Canis lupus familiaris: one gene and its partner. The protein of the gene in region 1 purifies or fractionates together with the protein of each later gene. This does not show direct contact. Links are inferred from orthologs where the notes say so. Each region holds a gene or a part of one and is shown on either strand. Other genes may lie near its edges.

Region 1 (3,924 bases):
AGATTATAAATTGTTTCGTATTCTGAATGCCGAAGTGATAATGCAGAAAATGCCAATGCACAAACAAGCAGGTACCATCAGAGGATCTACGTGAATGTTTCCTGGCACATCCTTATGTCCATCTGCTCCTGCCTCTTCTTGCCGTATTGCCCTGGATGTTTAAAATTTAAAATAGAAAATCTCTTCATTTTTTCCCGAAAAATTTAACATTCAATAACATGAATGTTAAATTCATGCTTCAATTATGTTTTTCTTTAATTTCTCAGTAAGCTGTTCTAGAATTAGCTCCGTAATTGTGCACATTGCCACTTCTTTCCAGATCTTTACCCTTTGCCAGCTTCACTGCAGTCTTCTACCTCCACCCCCCTAACCCCCATTTCCCCCAGTCTTCCACTAGCAAACAAACCCAGCAGTAATTACTAATGTCCAAGCACGTAATTCTGGCACCGTTAGGATTTTTTTTTTTTTTTTTGACGCAACTACGCAGAGCTGTCTGGACATGCAGCATGAAGTCAAAGCATTTTTAAAGACTCCTACCCATCTTTTCTCCCCTCCTCCTATCACTAAAACACAGTTGTTTATTTCGTTTGCGGATTGCAAGGTTATAAAATTCTTCCATGGAGTTACATAGCCCTGAATATTAATTTTACACCCATATACAGTAACAGATAAATATGTACTTATATGGAAACACATAGGTTATCCATAAAATTGAAAAACATTAGGAAATAAATAGCTAGGAATGAAAGTACCTCCTCTATATGGACAGGACCATTTTAGCAGCTCTAGTATAGAAATCATTGGAGTTATGACTAACAAAAACAATCCAAGATCTTAATGTGAGGCTTTTCAAAAGATCATGACAGTGTTTCTTTTAATGCGTTGCATAGATTCCTACATATGACGCTGTTACTCTTATTTAACAACTATTCAAATAGTACAGTTTTGCGCCTGGTATTTTATGACAATTTTAGTTATATCAAACAACAGGAAATATTCCTTGGTAATTTTTGTTCACTCAGAGGCCCCAAGGCTCAGAGTAGAAAATGATTAAAGTACTTATCACTGTCTCAGCAAAATCCCGCAGTGCCGTAATAGAAATTGCAGTAGATCTTTAGGTCAGAGTCCAGTTTCAGTCTAACACCTGCATGACCCTGAAGGACATAGTTGGATTTTGAGGAAAACCAGTCTTAATAATGTCCAGATCAGAAACTATCGGCCTGAGATAACCAATGTTCATAGGAAACACTTCCACTCCCTCTGAAACCATGGCAAAAGAGATTAAATCTATACCTTGTAGGACCTGTAATATTTCTGAGATGTATTTTTGTGAGTGTGTGCTTATGTACATGCCTAATTACAAGGATGGGAGAGAAGGAAGAAGAGGGCTTCATTCTTAAAGTTGATTCTGCTTAGTTTAACTATATATATATATATATATATATATATATATATATATCAAATAGAAATATATACAGAAATATATTACTCCTGTAAACAGATCATTTTGGTATCTTCATATATACCTCATTCATGCCCACCCAAGGTCTGCAGACAAATATACTCTGTGTTAAAAACAAAACCAAACAAAACCCTTGATATCTGACTGGAGGATGAAGCAGATTTTTCTTAAAAATGTGTTTACTTTCTACTTAAGAAAAAGGGACGAGGGCAACATGAGAAGTCTATAAGTAGACTTATTTCTTTTTTAAGCTATGCGGGAGCTGAGGATGGGAGCAGGTAATTGCCTGCAAAGCAGTCCTACGGCAGGATTTATTTTTTTCTTTTTTAAAATTGTTAACCTACTACGTCTTCTCTATCAGGGAGTCTCTCTGTGAGACCGAGGTCTCAGAGAGGCAATTTGGCCTCCAGCCCTGACCGGCAGCTCTGGCCAGGCAGCTCTGCGGCAGGTAGATGCGGCGAGGCTGCCGGGCCGCTCTCCGCGGTGCTGAAAGGTCGCGGGCGCCCGCGAGGGGCCTGGGCATCGCTGTCCAGGGTGCTGACTGCGGGCCGCCGCAGTCCCCGAGGCGAGCCCACCCCCGCCAGCCCTCCGCAGAGCCCTCCCACACAGCATGACCCGCCCGCCTCCCGCCAGCCTGCAGTCGACGGGGAGCAGGCGGCATAAATCAAGTCCGCGGGGCATGGAGGCTGCTGCCGCTGCTGCAGCTCGGCTTGCCCGGGGCGGGAACTCCCCCTTCTCTCGCCTCCCCAGCGCCCACGACCTGCCTTCTCCCTAATTCTTCGCTGGATAATAGCGCCTGAACGACAATAGTCAAAATAACAGGGTCAGAACGACAGAGTTTGTTTTGGTCTACCGGGGGAAAAAAAAAATCAAAAAACCAGCAGCCTAAACATCTCTGAAAACTGCATCGCAAAATGGAAGAGAGTCCCACTACTGTTTCGAAAGAGTAAGTTATTATTCGGCATGTATCCTTGCGCTTCCTCCCCATCGCTCCATCTGCAGTGTCCCCATTCCTCCCTTCCCCAGGCGGCTCACCTCGAAAATACTTTATAAAGCCCCTAGACCGGAGCTATCCCGACGCGCACACACGGCATACCGCACCCTAGGTGCACAAATACTTGTATTTGCCCACGCTCACTTGGTCTCCTCGGCTGTGGTCCCCTCTGGGTATGCAGCCATCCAAAACCAGAACCACGACCTGAGGTGGAGGCTCCTTACCTTGGCTTCTGCAGAGGGTGGTGTTCGCCTGGCCCCTCGCAGGGTGCAAGTGTGGAGGAGCCGCCAAGCCGGGAGGGAAGGAGAGACAGCGCCTGACCTCTCCGAGGTTTCGTCTTCAATGCAACGTGAGCTCTGCCCTCATCAAAGATGGCCGTCCCTTTTGACGTCAGCAGCTTTTAATAGCCCTCTCCAGGAGGGGCGGGGAGGAAGTGTGCCGCGGGGAGCGCGGGGGGAGGATGGAGGTGGGAGGTGGGCGGTGGGAGGGGCGGAGCCGAGTTGTGCGGACCGCTTGACTCAGCTCCCTGTGCGCTTTCCTGCAAACCTTTGTATTTCAGTCTTTTATAAACACCTGAATGAGGCGATTCTTATGACTCCATCTTAACACCCGGTGTCGGGCAAATACATTTATCTCGCGACTAGTTTTCTGATATTCTTTGTGTGTGTGTATGTATATATGTTATCTGTGTGTGCCTATATTGTGTCATATCTGCGACATATATGCGATTATATAGAATTTCCCCTCCCCCTGCTGAGTTGTCTTTGGTTGAGTCATAGAAGGGGAGGGGAAGGCAGAAGAGTAGAAGTGGGGGAGGTAGTCGAGGGGATTTCAGCTGCAATTCGCTTTTTCTAAGGAAGCGGCTCCGAAGGGGCATCCCTGTCAGCCCTCACCAGCTCCATATATGGCCAGGCTACGTGGGCTGCTATTTTTATGAGTGATTTCTTCATTTTATCAAAGCAGCACCCAGCGTTTAGAGTTTGCATTAATGTGGTCAGTTGGGGAGGCAGACGCGTACACGTTATTTTAAAGTACGTCAGAGCAATTATCTCTGAGAGATACAGAATGAATTGGGCGGAGGGGGAGGGAGGGGTAGTTAACCTAACCAGCGTGGGTTTCCTGGAGTTCAAGGCTTGGAGTTGAGAGTTATTTGCTGAGGGCAAACTAGATGACGCTGTTTTCGGTTAAATATGCAACCAGAACCTGGGGTTTTATGTTGGGTTTCTTAGGAATAGTTCACGGAAGCGCGCACAGACCTTATGGAACCATCCAGACTTCCAAGGGGAGTGGGGAAGGCTGAGGATTCCAGGATCTCTGGGACGCTACAGAATTTTGGTGGTTCATTCCATGTGCAAACCTGGGTACCAGTCGAGGCTAGCCGGGGTGGGGGGGGGGAGTGCTCTGATGCTTAAAACGGCGTGGGCGAGAAAGGCTACCTGTGCTGGTCATATGAGAGATTAAAAATAAT
Region 2 (3,529 bases), on another chromosome or scaffold:
AAAGCCATATAGCACCAAAGAGATGGGAAATGAAAAGGACCGCATTCACAATATTTGCAATACTTGAGATAAAGACCCAAGTAAGGGTCATAAAACCAGAGTTTCATCTAATATGTAAAAGAATATCACTTCTTACAACATAGAACAATTAACTTCCATTTATTCATAGAAAAATAACCTCCACAGGATAACTCCCTATTTATTCACAATAGCAGTTGGAATTGATTTTATGTCTATCCTCTATGGCTGTAGTCAACATAAAGTACCTGCAAAGTCATACTTTGTACCTATTCCTATACTAATTGAAACAAATTTTAGCTGTTAAGAATATAAAATTAGCCTTCTACCAGATTTAGGTACTATGCCAGCTTACGGGGTTAGCTTTGTAGCTGAGACTTCTCTGTAAATTTATTCAAGGACTGATATCTTTTTGTAGATCTCTCTGAAGAAAATATTAAAAATGGACTGGAGTGCAATTATGACCACCTGCCTCCAGCTTTAGCCTAAGCAAAAGGCTGCAGCTGCTCTCAATGTGTCAATGAGATGTGACAGCTCATGAAGTATACAGCACAGTGACTTTCTTTGGTAAGTGCTTTTACCTGATAGTAAGCAGCTCGCTGTAACTGATCCGTGGCTCTCTCTACATGTACCTCTGAGCTTTCCACATTGGCTTCTATGCTGTCTGCAAAAAACAAAGAAGGGCAGTGGATATTTTTTATCATAACTGATGTTTCAAGATTGTAAATTAAACATACTCCTTATGTCATTGGTCCTGGTTTCACCACCACCATTCCAACTAGCCAGCCATGTAATCAAAATTACTAACCGGGTAAGAGAATAACTCTGTTCTTTGGGAATAAAGGATTATGAAGTAGGCAACTCACCACAAAATGGTTCAGGAAAAATTATGTATACACATGTATATTTGGAGAAATATAGAGGGCAAATCTAAACCAAATGAGGGTAGAATGTTAAGAGGTAAATCTGGGTAAAGGTTTTAAGGAATTCCTTGTAGTCTATTTTTGTAACTTTTCTAACCTTGAAATCATTTCCAAATAAAAAGCTTAGAAAAAAAAGGTTACTAATCCCAAAATTGTGCAAGTTTCCGGAGATAAAAGCTGGGAAGACAACAGCTATTTCCCTAAACAGCCAAAGACCTAAAAAGAGGCTATGGCAAGTGAGCTGAGTAATCATGCCCATGTCACTAGTGTCTATATTTGACAATATAAAAAGGGGACTAAAAAATGAATTTTATAATTTTTAAATGGCATTCCTAAATTCCTAAGACATGTCTTACTGACTTCTTCACACCAAGAAGTTGGTACTTCTTCAGTACCAACTATCAACTCACCTTGAGGTTAAAAGTATCAACGATATACATACCAATTAGATCACCTTGATCATGGATCATCATGGCCAAATCTTTAAATATTTGATTGACATCCAAAATATCAGCCTAAAGAACACAAAAAACAATTAACATTAAGCAACACGTTAGACAATTCAATTCCTTCTACTTAGCTAAAATTTTGGCTGTAAACATAACACAGATGTTTCTAAGGCTTATAAATCACCCTTTCTCCATAAACTGAAAATGAAAATAAAGTTAATTAATAGCTACTAAATGCCTATTATGTGCTAAGAACTATACCAGGTAGGTAATTAAACACAGACTTTTGGAGCCTAGTAGAGAGGATCCAGAGTCTTGCTGTGTGAAGTTAATCTTCCACCGTCCTGTTGTACCATCTTAGGTTAAGAAACTCTCTGGGTTGCCCCCTCTAAAATGTGGACAATGACAGTACCTATCTCATACTAAAGCGCAGAAGCACTAAATAAATTGATATATTTAAAGTTCTTAGAACTGTGCAATAAGCACTTCCTAAGTGTCAGCTATTACTAATCATTAGTTGGTCCTCATGACAACACAATGAGACATATATTATCCCCATCATACACAAGAGAAAACTGGGGGGCAGCCCTGGTGGCTCAGCAGTTTAGCGCAGCCTTCAGCCCAGGGTGTGATCCTGGAGACCTCAGGATCGAGTCCCATGTCAGGCTCCCACATGGCGCCTGCTTTCCCTCTGCCTGTGTCTCTGCCTCTCTCCCTCTCTGTGTCTCTCATAAATAAATAAAATCTTAAAAAAAATAAATAAATAAGAGAAAACTGGGGCTCAGAAAAGTTTGATGACTTATCCCAAGGTCTCAAAGCTAGCAAGTGGCAGAGCTCAGAATGAAAAGTTCATGATGTTTTCATTACATTACTATGCCTCTTTGATAGTTACATTAACCAGCCACTCTACGAAGTCAAGTATCTTTGAGGATAATAACACTCAGGAAGGTTATCTACCTGTCTAGTCACAACCCTTGTCAGTGAAGAAACTAAGCATTGCAGCCAGAGTATCTCTAAAGCACTTGCTCTTGCAATTGAAATACACTGCCTCTTAGAAGGCTAGGATAAAAACAATGCCTTGAAAGCCACAGCTTCCCAACCATAACTTGGCAAGAGCTTACCAGCACATCAATTACCCACTAAGAGTCTGCTGGAATCAGGACAGTCTACTAGTTGCTTGCTGACTAACATAATAGGAGGAGTTGCTTGCTGACTAACAGGGGTGGAGTCAGTACACAACAAGATAAATAAGAAAAGTCATTATATAGAAGTGACTGGTAAATGGTAAAGGAAAGTGTGCACAGGAAGGCTTGCAGGAGAGGTACAACTTGAGGTATACCTTACAGCAAAAGAGAAGCCATATAAACAAGCAGATGATTGAGTTAAAGAGCAAACAGCCAAAAAAAAAAAAAAAAAAAAAAAAAGAGCAAACAGCCCAGCTTGGATGTAACATGCATGTGAAACTGGGATTTATAAGAAATATACAGGGCGCCTGAGTGGGTCGATCAATTAAGCATCTGCCTTTGGCCTGGGTTATGATCCTAGGGTCCTAGGTTCAAGCCTCACATAGAGTTCCCTACTCAGCAAGGAGTCAGCTTCTCCCTCTCCCTCTGCCCCCACCCCCAACCCGCTCGTGCTCTCTTCCTGGTTCTCTCTCTCTCAAAAATAAATAATTATATTTAGTCTTCATCCCACTCCTGGAGCAAAGATCCTAAATTCCTTGAAGTTTCCTAAGTGGTAAAAGAAAGGAAACTATCTTTTGGTGCTTCTAACAAATCCTGTTCAACCACACTTGAAGTTAAAGAACAAGTCTTTTGGAAAGCCTCTGTTATCAGAGGGCTAGAGGCTGAAATCAACCATCAACAGCCAGATTTAATCCATCGAGTCCCACATTGGGCTCCCTACATGGAGCCTCCTTCTCCCTCTGCCTGTGTCTCTGCCTCTCTGTGTGTGTGTGTCTCTCTCAGGAATAAATAAATAAAATCTTAAGAAAAAAAAACTTATGGCTATTCGTCCATTTCTAGCCTAGAAAAATAGGAATTTCACAGAGCCTAAAATAACAGTTGATGAATGAGGGAGAACAGCTGAGTATCTGGAAAATAAATCTCTAAGTGACTCTAAGGCATTTTCAGAGTTCAG

What was found.
Region 2: the proteins of SNAP25 (region 1) and STX12 purify together in Homo sapiens (co-immunoprecipitation; 3 studies listed by BioGRID and IntAct, with this or other methods). This does not show direct contact. The link is inferred for Canis lupus familiaris from reciprocal best matches to the Homo sapiens genes SNAP25 and STX12.

The regions. Positions count from the first base shown.
Region 1 is NC_049245.1:12,539,666-12,543,589, forward strand, and holds the start of SNAP25 (synaptosomal-associated protein 25), read right to left. Parts: upstream 2,845-3,924; 5' UTR 2,681-2,844; intron 2,540-2,680; exon of another isoform or gene 2,498-2,539; intron 2,409-2,497; exon of another isoform or gene 2,113-2,408; intron 1-2,112.
Region 2 is NC_049223.1:71,943,811-71,947,339, forward strand, and holds part of STX12 (syntaxin-12), read right to left. Parts: intron 1,457-3,529; coding exon 1,384-1,456; intron 683-1,383; coding exon 600-682; intron 1-599. UniProt on the Homo sapiens protein: SNARE promoting fusion of transport vesicles with target membranes. Together with SNARE STX6, promotes movement of vesicles from endosomes to the cell membrane, and may therefore function in the endocytic recycling pathway.